2 linked regions of the Coturnix japonica genome follow. The protein of the gene in region 2 binds, or shares a complex with, the protein of the main gene of each other region. Links are inferred from orthologs where the notes say so. Each region holds a gene or a part of one and is shown on either strand. Other genes may lie near its edges.

Region 1 (4,506 bases), about 590 kb from region 2:
TGCAGCGGTCACCTCATTTCTCTGCATGCAAAGCTCATCTGACTGGCACTTACCCAAATGTAAAGGGGTGTTTCCCAGCCCATCTCTCTGATTTGGGTCAGCCCCGTGATCCAGAAGCAGTTGTACTGGAAGCAATAACACAGATACACGTTAATTCCTTTCCTCTGCCCCACTGACAGCACCTTAATGGCGTAAGAAAGGTCATTTAGCAGTGCGCTGCTGACCCACTAGTCCATGTGGCAGCTTGCAGGCTGCAGAAGGGATGTTTCTGTCCAGCTTATGCAGACAGTAAATGGAAAATGGATGACTGAAGATCCCCTTCCCACTCACCAATGTGATCATTGCCATTGCAGGAGGCAAAGTGCAGGGCTGTCCGGCCTTTGTCATCCGCAGCACAGGGGTCAGTTCCATCCTCCAGCAGTTGCTGCACTGGCAGTGCCAAGAAAGAAAAGGATGCAGGTAAGTTGAAGGGACACCTGATCAGAAAGGGGTGATGCTACCAGCTCTTCTGCAGGTAAGTATGGACCCTGCACAAGGTCAGAGCTCACAGATGAATGCATCCATCAGTTCATGAAACAAGGTGTACTGTAAAGCTGGAGGGTACAACATCACCCCATCCTGTAATGCCAGGGGTTGTTACAAATCCCGTCTATTTCCGATTGTTCACAACATGGTCTGATAACAGACAAAGGAGGAACCACGACAGGGGGCAAATGACATATGCCAGTATTGCTGATGAATGCTTAGGATCAAAACCCAGCTGATCTACAGTACATGGAAGTCAAGAGAGTCACAGAGCTGATGAGTGGGCAAAAGTTACGTACCAAAAAGCTGGAATAACAGCTGATTGCTAATCTAGCCTGAGGCAGCTGGACCCAATACAGTGAAAAAATCAATATAACAATCAGTCTCACTCTGCTCAGAGAACGGAACAAAAGGCTCAAGAGAAGCAACTTCTAGATCTTCAGCAACTAAAGGAAGATTCCTGCAAACTACCTGCACCTTCCTTCTCCTCGTCCTCTGCTGAAACAAAGAGCTTTGAACAAACTGCCTTTCCAGGAAGTGGCTTCACGTCAGGTTGAAGTCTCACCTGTGTCCAGGTCGTTGCCATTGGCAGCCTCACGCAGCCTCTTCAGGGCTGGGGAGGAAAGAAAGCCATTAGTGTGAAGCACGGAGGAGGAAGGGGGCAGGGGAGGAAGGGGGAACCCGCTCCCGCTCACCGTGGCTCTCCTTGCCCGTAGGCCCCAGGCGACGGTGGATGCGGGCGGCCCTGCGCAGGCGGCGGGCCGGGATCTTGCCGGCAGGTTCCTCTCGCTGCCACAGGACGTGCAGGTAGCCGAGGGAGGCTTCCCCCGCCGCCCCTCCCAGCGCCATCCCGGCTCCCAGAGCGGACTCCGACTCCGTCCCCGCAGCAGACTCGGCCTCCATTCCCTCACGGGCCGGGCCGGGCGGTACGGGGTGTGAGGGGAGGGGCGGGAAGGGTCGTCGCTGACATAGTGCAGACGGGCAGGCGGACTCTGCAATCAGAGAGAAAAGCCTCTGAAGACAAGCAGTTATTTTAACCAATAGAGAGACTAAACAAATTCGGCCGGCCTTCCGGAGCGTGCCGCTTGGTCCCACCTCCTCTTCCTGCCTGCCCAGGCCCCGCGCCGCGCCATGGCCTACCCGGGGGAGGACTACGACAACGATGTGCGAGCGGGGGGCGGGCTGCGGGGATGGGGGGGGGTTTGTGGGTCCGGTTCGTGCTCGTCGCGGTAACATCCCCGCATCGTGTCTTCACAGGCCGCCTACGACCCGTACGCCTACTCCAACGACTATGATATGCACACGGGTGAGTGCGCGGTGCGGGCCGCCCCGCGGGGTGGGGGCTGTAGGCCTCGGGCTTACAACCCGCCTCTTTCCCTTCAGGAGACCCGAAGCAGGATCTGGCCTACGAGCGGCAGTACGAGCAGCAGACGTACCAGGTGATCCCCGAGGTCATCAAGAACTTCATCCAGTACTTCCACAAGACCGTGTCCGACCTCATCGACCAGAAGGTGTACGAGCTGCAGGCCAGCCGAGTCTCCAGCGATGTCATTGACCAGAAGGTGTATGAGATCCAGGACATCTATGAGAACAGGTGCGGGGCTGTCCTTGCATTCTCACTGCTTAAAACCTCCCATACTTAAAGGCCCCGGGCCCCCGGTATGAGAAAGATGTAGAGCTGTTGGAGTGGGTCCAGGGGAAGGCCACCTCTGGAGTACCTCTTCTGTGAAGAAAGGATGGGAGCTGGGCTTGTTCAGCCTGGAGACCTCATTGCAGCCTTCCAGTACTTGAAGGGAGCTTACCCACAGGAGGGAACTCGGCTTTTTTACATGGGCAGATAGTGATAGGACAAGGGCAACAGTTGAAAACTAAAATTAGATGTGATAGTTTTTCACTGTGAGGCTGTTGAGGCATTGGAGCAGCCCAGAGAGGTTCTGGATGCCCAGTCCTTAGAAGTGTTCAAGGCCGGGTTGGATAGGACCCAGGGCAACTCAGTCTGGTAGCTGATTTAGTTGTCGGTAATACTGATGCAAACTAGATGATCTTTAAGGTTCTTTCCAACCCAAGCCATTCTATGGTCAGTTTTTTAACTGCTTTGTTTGCCATTCTAATTCCTTAGTAACACCAGTTTTGAAGGGAGACAGTGTCCTATCAAGTCCAAGCCCTTTGTACTGTGGTTTCTAACTGCAGCTCTGTGATGCTCAGGGATGTTTTCTCATACCCCACGTCTTATCTTTCAGCTGGACAAAGCTAACAGAAAGGTTTTTCAAGAACACCCCATGGCCAGAGGCAGAGGCCATTGCCCCACAGGTTGGAAATGGTAAGCATTTCTTTTCCACTCTGTTTTCCTTACAGGAGAATGAAGGAACTAAATTACTTTTGATGTGTTAGGGAGCTGGCATGTGGTTTTTATGAATCACTCATCTTTGCTATGGCAGCTCCTTCTGTAGATGCCTATCAGAAAGTCAGATGAATGAGCATCCTCTTTTACTTGTCCTTGTAACTGTGGCAGTAGGAACATCACCGGTGCCTCAGAGATCCAGTTGCCTAAGCTTCATGGTTTGCTGATATCCAGTTCTCTCATCTCTTCCAGATGCAGTTTTCCTCATCCTGTACAAGGAGCTGTATTATAGGCATATCTACGCCAAAGTCAGCGTGAGTATTTGCTCTGTGTCTTTTAGTTGCGCTTGGTTCTTCTGCCATCAAAGTGAACAAGTTGCACTGCTGTTAAAGCATCAGTGGTTCCAAAGTTTTGCAAAACAATATTGAATAGATTTAGGAGGTATGGGTCGAGTTAGAAATAGCTGAATTTTCTCTCTGTTAGAGCTGTATAACTGCATGACTTACAGGTCAGTTTTGTGTGTTTCTTCATGACTCTTTATTTCTTCTTCAGGCTAGCAGGTGTATGAGGGGGTGTCACAAGAGGAGTTTGAGTTACTTGTAATTGAAAGACCATACGGGGTCAGAGTGTTTTGTGGATAGGAAGAAACTGGCACCACAGAGGATACAGGAGAAGAAGACAGAAGGAATAATGGTCTATTAAAAAAACAACAACAACAAACCATGCTTCTTTCCCTTAAAAAGGCTAATTTGAAGTCAGTAGGAAAATCAGAGTAGTTCTTGGCTGTAAGAAAGAAGCAGGACAGGTGTGTGACTTACATGGTGAATGAGTAATAATTGCAGTTTTGGTTTGGACCACAGGGTGGAGAAATGGGTTAATGCAGGAGTCTTTTTGAAGTTCCTAAATCAAAGACTTGCCTGAACAGGTGAAACTGGTTGCTTGAGTTATTTTGTAGGAGGTTCCCAAGCTGCCCATGGGGTGTCTACAGGTGACACAAGATAATTCTAGGAAGAGTGATTCCCTCCTGTGTTTATCGGTCTTCTAGAGCATTTAAAACTTATTCTTTATGCAGAGGGCGGTGAGGCACTGGCACTGCTGCCCAGAGAGCTGTGGGTGCCCCATCCCTGGAGGTTCAAGGCTAGGTTGGATGGGGGCTGAACTGGTGGCCCTGTCCACAGCAGGGTCCCTTCCAAGCTATTCTATGATTCTTTGGTATGATTGTCTAGAAGCAGCTGTGTTGTTGGGATTTACAAAGACCTTCCTTGAGGGGAAGAGGACAAAAAGCTGTGTAGGTTAATAGGCAGTTCTTAGGTCTGGACAGCACAGAGGAGGAAAAGGAGACTTAAAGTATTCTATTCACATGAGACTTCATCACTTAGTTGTACTAGAAGCTACCTGGACTTGAAAAGGCAGCCTTCTTCTACTGGACAACAGTGAGACAATTTAATTTGTTCTGGGTGATGTTAGTGATTGGTGGGTGGTTGAATATCAGCTCTAATGTCACCAAAACAGATCTATTGCCTTGACTGTTGGCTGTCCTTTGTAGGCTATTGCCCATAAAGGACCATTAGTTTTGCTGTACTTCAGACTAAATGGACTGTAATGTCTTCTCGCTGCAGGGGGGGCCCACTCTGGAGCAG
Region 2 (4,320 bases):
CTTTTCTGGGACACTGTGTGTCTCACGTGCTGATAATGATAGCCGACAGCTGGATGGCAAATCATCTGCAGAAACAGTGCTGGAGCTGACACCAGCACAGCCCTGAGTGCAGCCCAGGACAGGAGGTGAGCTGGGCAGGGTCTGGTGCCAAGTAAGCGTGAGCCAAAGCCACCCTGTCCCCTCTTCCAGTAAATCCCACTTAAATGGGGGAACAAATCTCACCTTCCTCAAGGCTGGATTTTTCTTGCAGCTGAAGTTTCTCCTCTTGATAAGAAACCGGTAGGTTATGATGTGCCTAAAAGAGCATTTGTTCTCTGATGGCCATTCCCTGTGCTTGCTTTCCCCTCTGAGACACACTAATACCCAGCTCCATTCCCAGACGAGGCAGCCTGAGGGGCTGGGCCCGAAGTGCCAGCACTCTTCAGCAGGCAGCAGCAGCGCTACACTTGCCTTTCAGCACCTCACACAGGACTGTAAGGGAACAGGCAAGCAGGGGGAATGCAGAGTCTAGGTTTATCAGTCTAGTTGTTTTCTCTTTCTTCATTCCGTTTGCTCTTTGGGACTTCCTTTTACGTTTCCTAAGCATGACTTGAACGTGGCTATGCTCAGGTTGAGTCTGTGATATCCAGGGCTGTTCCAGCACTGACGTTTGTCACCACAAAGGCTGTTTGCCTGTGAGAGTTACAAATGGTATTTTATAAACCGTGTTTCTGTAAGTGGATTTCTCTTTTTGCTAGCGGGGAAAACTGCTTTAATAATCCGACTTCTGATTAATGGCGCAGCCTCCTGGCAAAGCAGACTGCTTCGGTTATTTCTCGAGGAGGGTTTAAACGCAGTAAATAAAGGAGGAAATGCACGGTGCTCTGCCTGCAAAATATTGATCTAGACTCAGATGGTGCAAGATACCCAGGGACGTTCTGCAAACAGGTTGTGGTGAGGTGGGGGTCGGCCTCTGCTCACAGGTAACAGTTATAGGGTGAGAGGGAATGGCCTCAGGGGAGGGTCAGGTTGGATATGAGGAAAGATTGAGATATGAGGAAGGTGCTGCAGTGGCACAGGCTGCCCAGGCAGGTGGTGCAGTCACCGTCCCTGGAGGTGTTCAGAGCCGTGTGGATGTGGCACTGAGGGACGTGGTCATGGGGATGGTGGGGATGGGCTGATGGTTGGACCGGGTGATCCTAGAGGTCTTTTCCAGCCTTAATGATCCTATGTAAGGCACGCGACGAACCCACCCTGCCCCCTCCCTACCCCCCGGGTAAGTAAAAGCCGTGGTGACGTCACACCCCACCACGTACAGCCCGATGCCGGCGGTGACGTCACGGGGCGCATTGCGCCTAACGGGAGATCCGCGCTTTACGGCAGTCGCGCTCCGCCCCCTCGCTCTCTCTCTTTTACGACGGTGGTGCGCGGCGGCGCCGTCGCGCAGTGCTGACGCAATAAGGGCGGGACGGGGCTGCGCGCGGCCTTTCCTCGCCGGCCGTCGCCGCCGCTGTCGTATCCGTCGCCATCGGGGCCGTAACGCGGCCGCTCAGGTGAGGGGACGCCGCGGCCGCCCCGTCACGCTCCGCCGTCCTACCGGGACCGGCCCGCGGGCAGCGCGACCCCCGGCCCCGCCCAGGCGTTACCGCCGGTTCCGGTGGGGCCGGGCCGGCGCCCCCGCCTTCCTGCGCCCGCTCCGGGCTCCCTCGGTGCCCCTTCCCCTCACGGTGGCGCCGACGGGGCGGGTGCTGAAGGAACGTTCCGCTTGTTCCCCGCAGGGCTGTGAGCCATGGCGAAGTTCGTGACCCCCGTGATCCAGGACAACCCCTCGGGTTGGGGCCCGTGCGCCGTGCCCGAGCAGTTCAAGGATATGCCCTACCAGCCCTTCAGCAAGGGGGACCGCCTGGGCAAGGTACTGCGCTGTGTGGCTGCTGGGTGCACCCCTGTGCCTCTGCTGAGCTACCAGAGTGGGGAGCTGGGTTAGACGTTGGGAGGGGTCTCTTTTTTTGCTCGGCAGAGAAAGACCTGGGGGTCTTGGTGTGCGAAAGACTCAACATGAGCCAGCAGTGCGCTCTGGCAGCCCGGAAAGCAAATGGATCCTGGGCTCCATCAGGAGAGGTGGTCAGCAGGATAGGGAGATCGTCCTCTCTACTCTGCTTTGTGAGCCCATCTGGATACTGTGTCCAGGTGTGGAGCCCTCAGTACAAAAAACATGGAATTTTGGAAAGGGTCCAGAGGAGGCCACGAAGATGATCAGGGGCTGGAGCACTCCCCTATGAGGAACAGCTGAGGGAGTTGGTGTTCGCCTAGAGAAGAGAAGGTTGCGGGTGACCTCATTGCAGCCTTTCAGTACTGAAGGAACTACTCCCAGGAGGGAGTAAACTCTTCAAAAGGCTGATAATAGCAGGACTAGGGGAAATGGTTTTAAGTTGAAGGAGGGAAGATTAGGTTGGATTTTAGGGGAATCTTCACTAGGAAAGTGGTTAGGCCCTGGACACGGCTGCCCAGGGAGTTGTGAATGCCCGTCCTTGAGGTGTTCAGACCAGGTTGGACGGGCCCGCAACCTGATCTAGTAAGGTGTATGTTTGGCGCCTGCCAGGCAGGTTGGAACTACATGATCCTTGAGGTCCCTTCCAACCCGGGTCATTCTGTGATTCTTTGTTTAGAGGACGCTGAGGCGCTGGCACAGACTGCCCAGAGAGCTGTGGTGCCCATACACCTGCAGCTTAAAGCCGGTGAATGAGCTGGTGGGGGGCAGGATTTAGATATTCTTTAAGATTCCTTCCAACCTGAGCCATTCTGAGATATGACATTATATGGTTCTCCAGCACCTTGACAGTTGTGAGCATTCTGTGAGGCTTGCTTATGGAGGTGGGAGTTGAGGTGCATACAGCAGTCCCTTATTTTGCCTTTTGAGGCCCTACTGGGGGGGGGGACGACACACACATCATATTAACACTTGCTTTTTTTTTTTACTGTATATTTTTGTCCTTAGGTGGCAGATTGGACAGGAGCCACGTATCAGGATAAGAGATACACAAGTACGTGTTGTCCAATGGCTGTTCCTGCTATTTATTTTGTGCAAAGCTTACTTCAAACGTCATCCCTGCTTTCGTGTTTCCCACTGGCTCTACCGGCTACATACACACCTCAGCAGAGGAGGCTCTTTAATTTCAGAAGCGTGTCTCACCGCTTGGAGAGCTGCGTGGGGCTCTCCCTGCCCTTAGGGTTCCCTTGTGGGTTTGTTCCATGTGCTGACTGGTGCTTCTCTGGGAGGTTCAGAGCAGGGAGGCAATGTGACAGTCTAATGCAGGAGTCCTAGTTGATGCATTAGACTTGAGTAAAGGCTACTGAGGAAAACTGGGGGGGCGGGTGGAGTGTCATATTTTTGCTTCCAAGCTTCATAGCAAAATGATTTATTTTATTTCCAGACAAGTACTCATCACAGTTTGGTGGTGGAAGTCAATATGCGTATTTCCATGAGGAGGATGAGACCAGCTTCCAGTTGGTGGATACAGCCCGGACACAGAAAACTGCATACCAGAGGAATCGCATGCGATTTGCACAGGTAAAGCTTTACTTTCAGAAACAGGCTCAAAAAAAGAGATTGAGCAATACAGAATTACTTTGCCACTAATCTGTCCTTTTATTCTTTGCTGCATTCCCACAGAGGAACCTTCGGAGAGACAAGGACCGCCGGAACATGCTGCAGTTCAGCATGCAGACGCTGCCAAAGAGTGCCAAGCAGAAAGAGAGGTGCGGGCTTCACATACAAGCATTCTGTACTTGGAGTGTGTGAACATACTGTTAACGAGTAATTTAAGTTACTGTAACAGAACCCACCAAAGTTCCTAGCAAAGCATTTCAGGGTATTTTAATGTTTGCTGATGCGCCCAGTAGTTACAAGCATGGATTTCAGGCAGCTATTTAAGAATCTAGGAGATGTTTTGAGTCAAGTTTAGGAGGTAAGTGTGACAACTTAAAGCAGGATGTGCTCTTCCTGGAAACTGTGTTGTGGTCATTAAGGATAAAAACATATAAAGGGTGTTCAGAGTGCAGAACAAAGCTCTTAACACTTCAGTTGTTTGGATAGCCAAATTCTCAGCCTGCAAACGTTGTTCCTCTGGTGATTATTTGGAAGTGTGGGAGTCGTGGCAGGGAGCTTCTTGTGTTGAGAACTTGTTGTAATGGCTTTTCACCTATTTGTCATTGTAGGGATCGTTTGCGCCTCCAAAAGAAGTTTCAGAAGCAGTTTGGAGTGAGGCAGAAATGGGACCAGAAGTCACAGGTAAATTAGCCAGCTTCCTGACCCTGGTGATGGCTTAGTTTGTCTGTATGTGC

The links.
Region 1: EIF3D (region 2) and EIF3L share a complex: the UniProt entries of both Homo sapiens proteins name them as parts of the eukaryotic translation initiation factor 3 (eIF-3) complex. The link is inferred for Coturnix japonica from reciprocal best matches to the Homo sapiens genes EIF3D and EIF3L.

The regions. Positions count from the first base shown.
Region 1 is NC_029516.1:46,630,600-46,635,105, reverse strand, and holds the start of EIF3L (eukaryotic translation initiation factor 3 subunit L), read left to right. Parts: upstream 1-1,564; 5' UTR 1,565-1,656; coding exon 1,657-1,689; intron 1,690-1,782; coding exon 1,783-1,831; intron 1,832-1,908; coding exon 1,909-2,119; intron 2,120-2,765; coding exon 2,766-2,845; intron 2,846-3,118; coding exon 3,119-3,180; intron 3,181-4,485; coding exon 4,486-4,506. Other genes in the region: ANKRD54 (ankyrin repeat domain-containing protein 54), read right to left, coding at 54-125, 331-429, 1,091-1,138, 1,221-1,428. UniProt on the Homo sapiens protein: Component of the eukaryotic translation initiation factor 3 (eIF-3) complex, which is required for several steps in the initiation of protein synthesis.
Region 2 is NC_029516.1:47,223,480-47,227,799, forward strand, and holds the start of EIF3D (eukaryotic translation initiation factor 3 subunit D), read left to right. Parts: upstream 1-1,414; 5' UTR 1,415-1,532; intron 1,533-1,757; 5' UTR 1,758-1,768; coding exon 1,769-1,891; intron 1,892-2,974; coding exon 2,975-3,020; intron 3,021-3,410; coding exon 3,411-3,547; intron 3,548-3,649; coding exon 3,650-3,735; intron 3,736-4,194; coding exon 4,195-4,267; intron 4,268-4,320. UniProt on the Homo sapiens protein: mRNA cap-binding component of the eukaryotic translation initiation factor 3 (eIF-3) complex, a complex required for several steps in the initiation of protein synthesis of a specialized repertoire of mRNAs.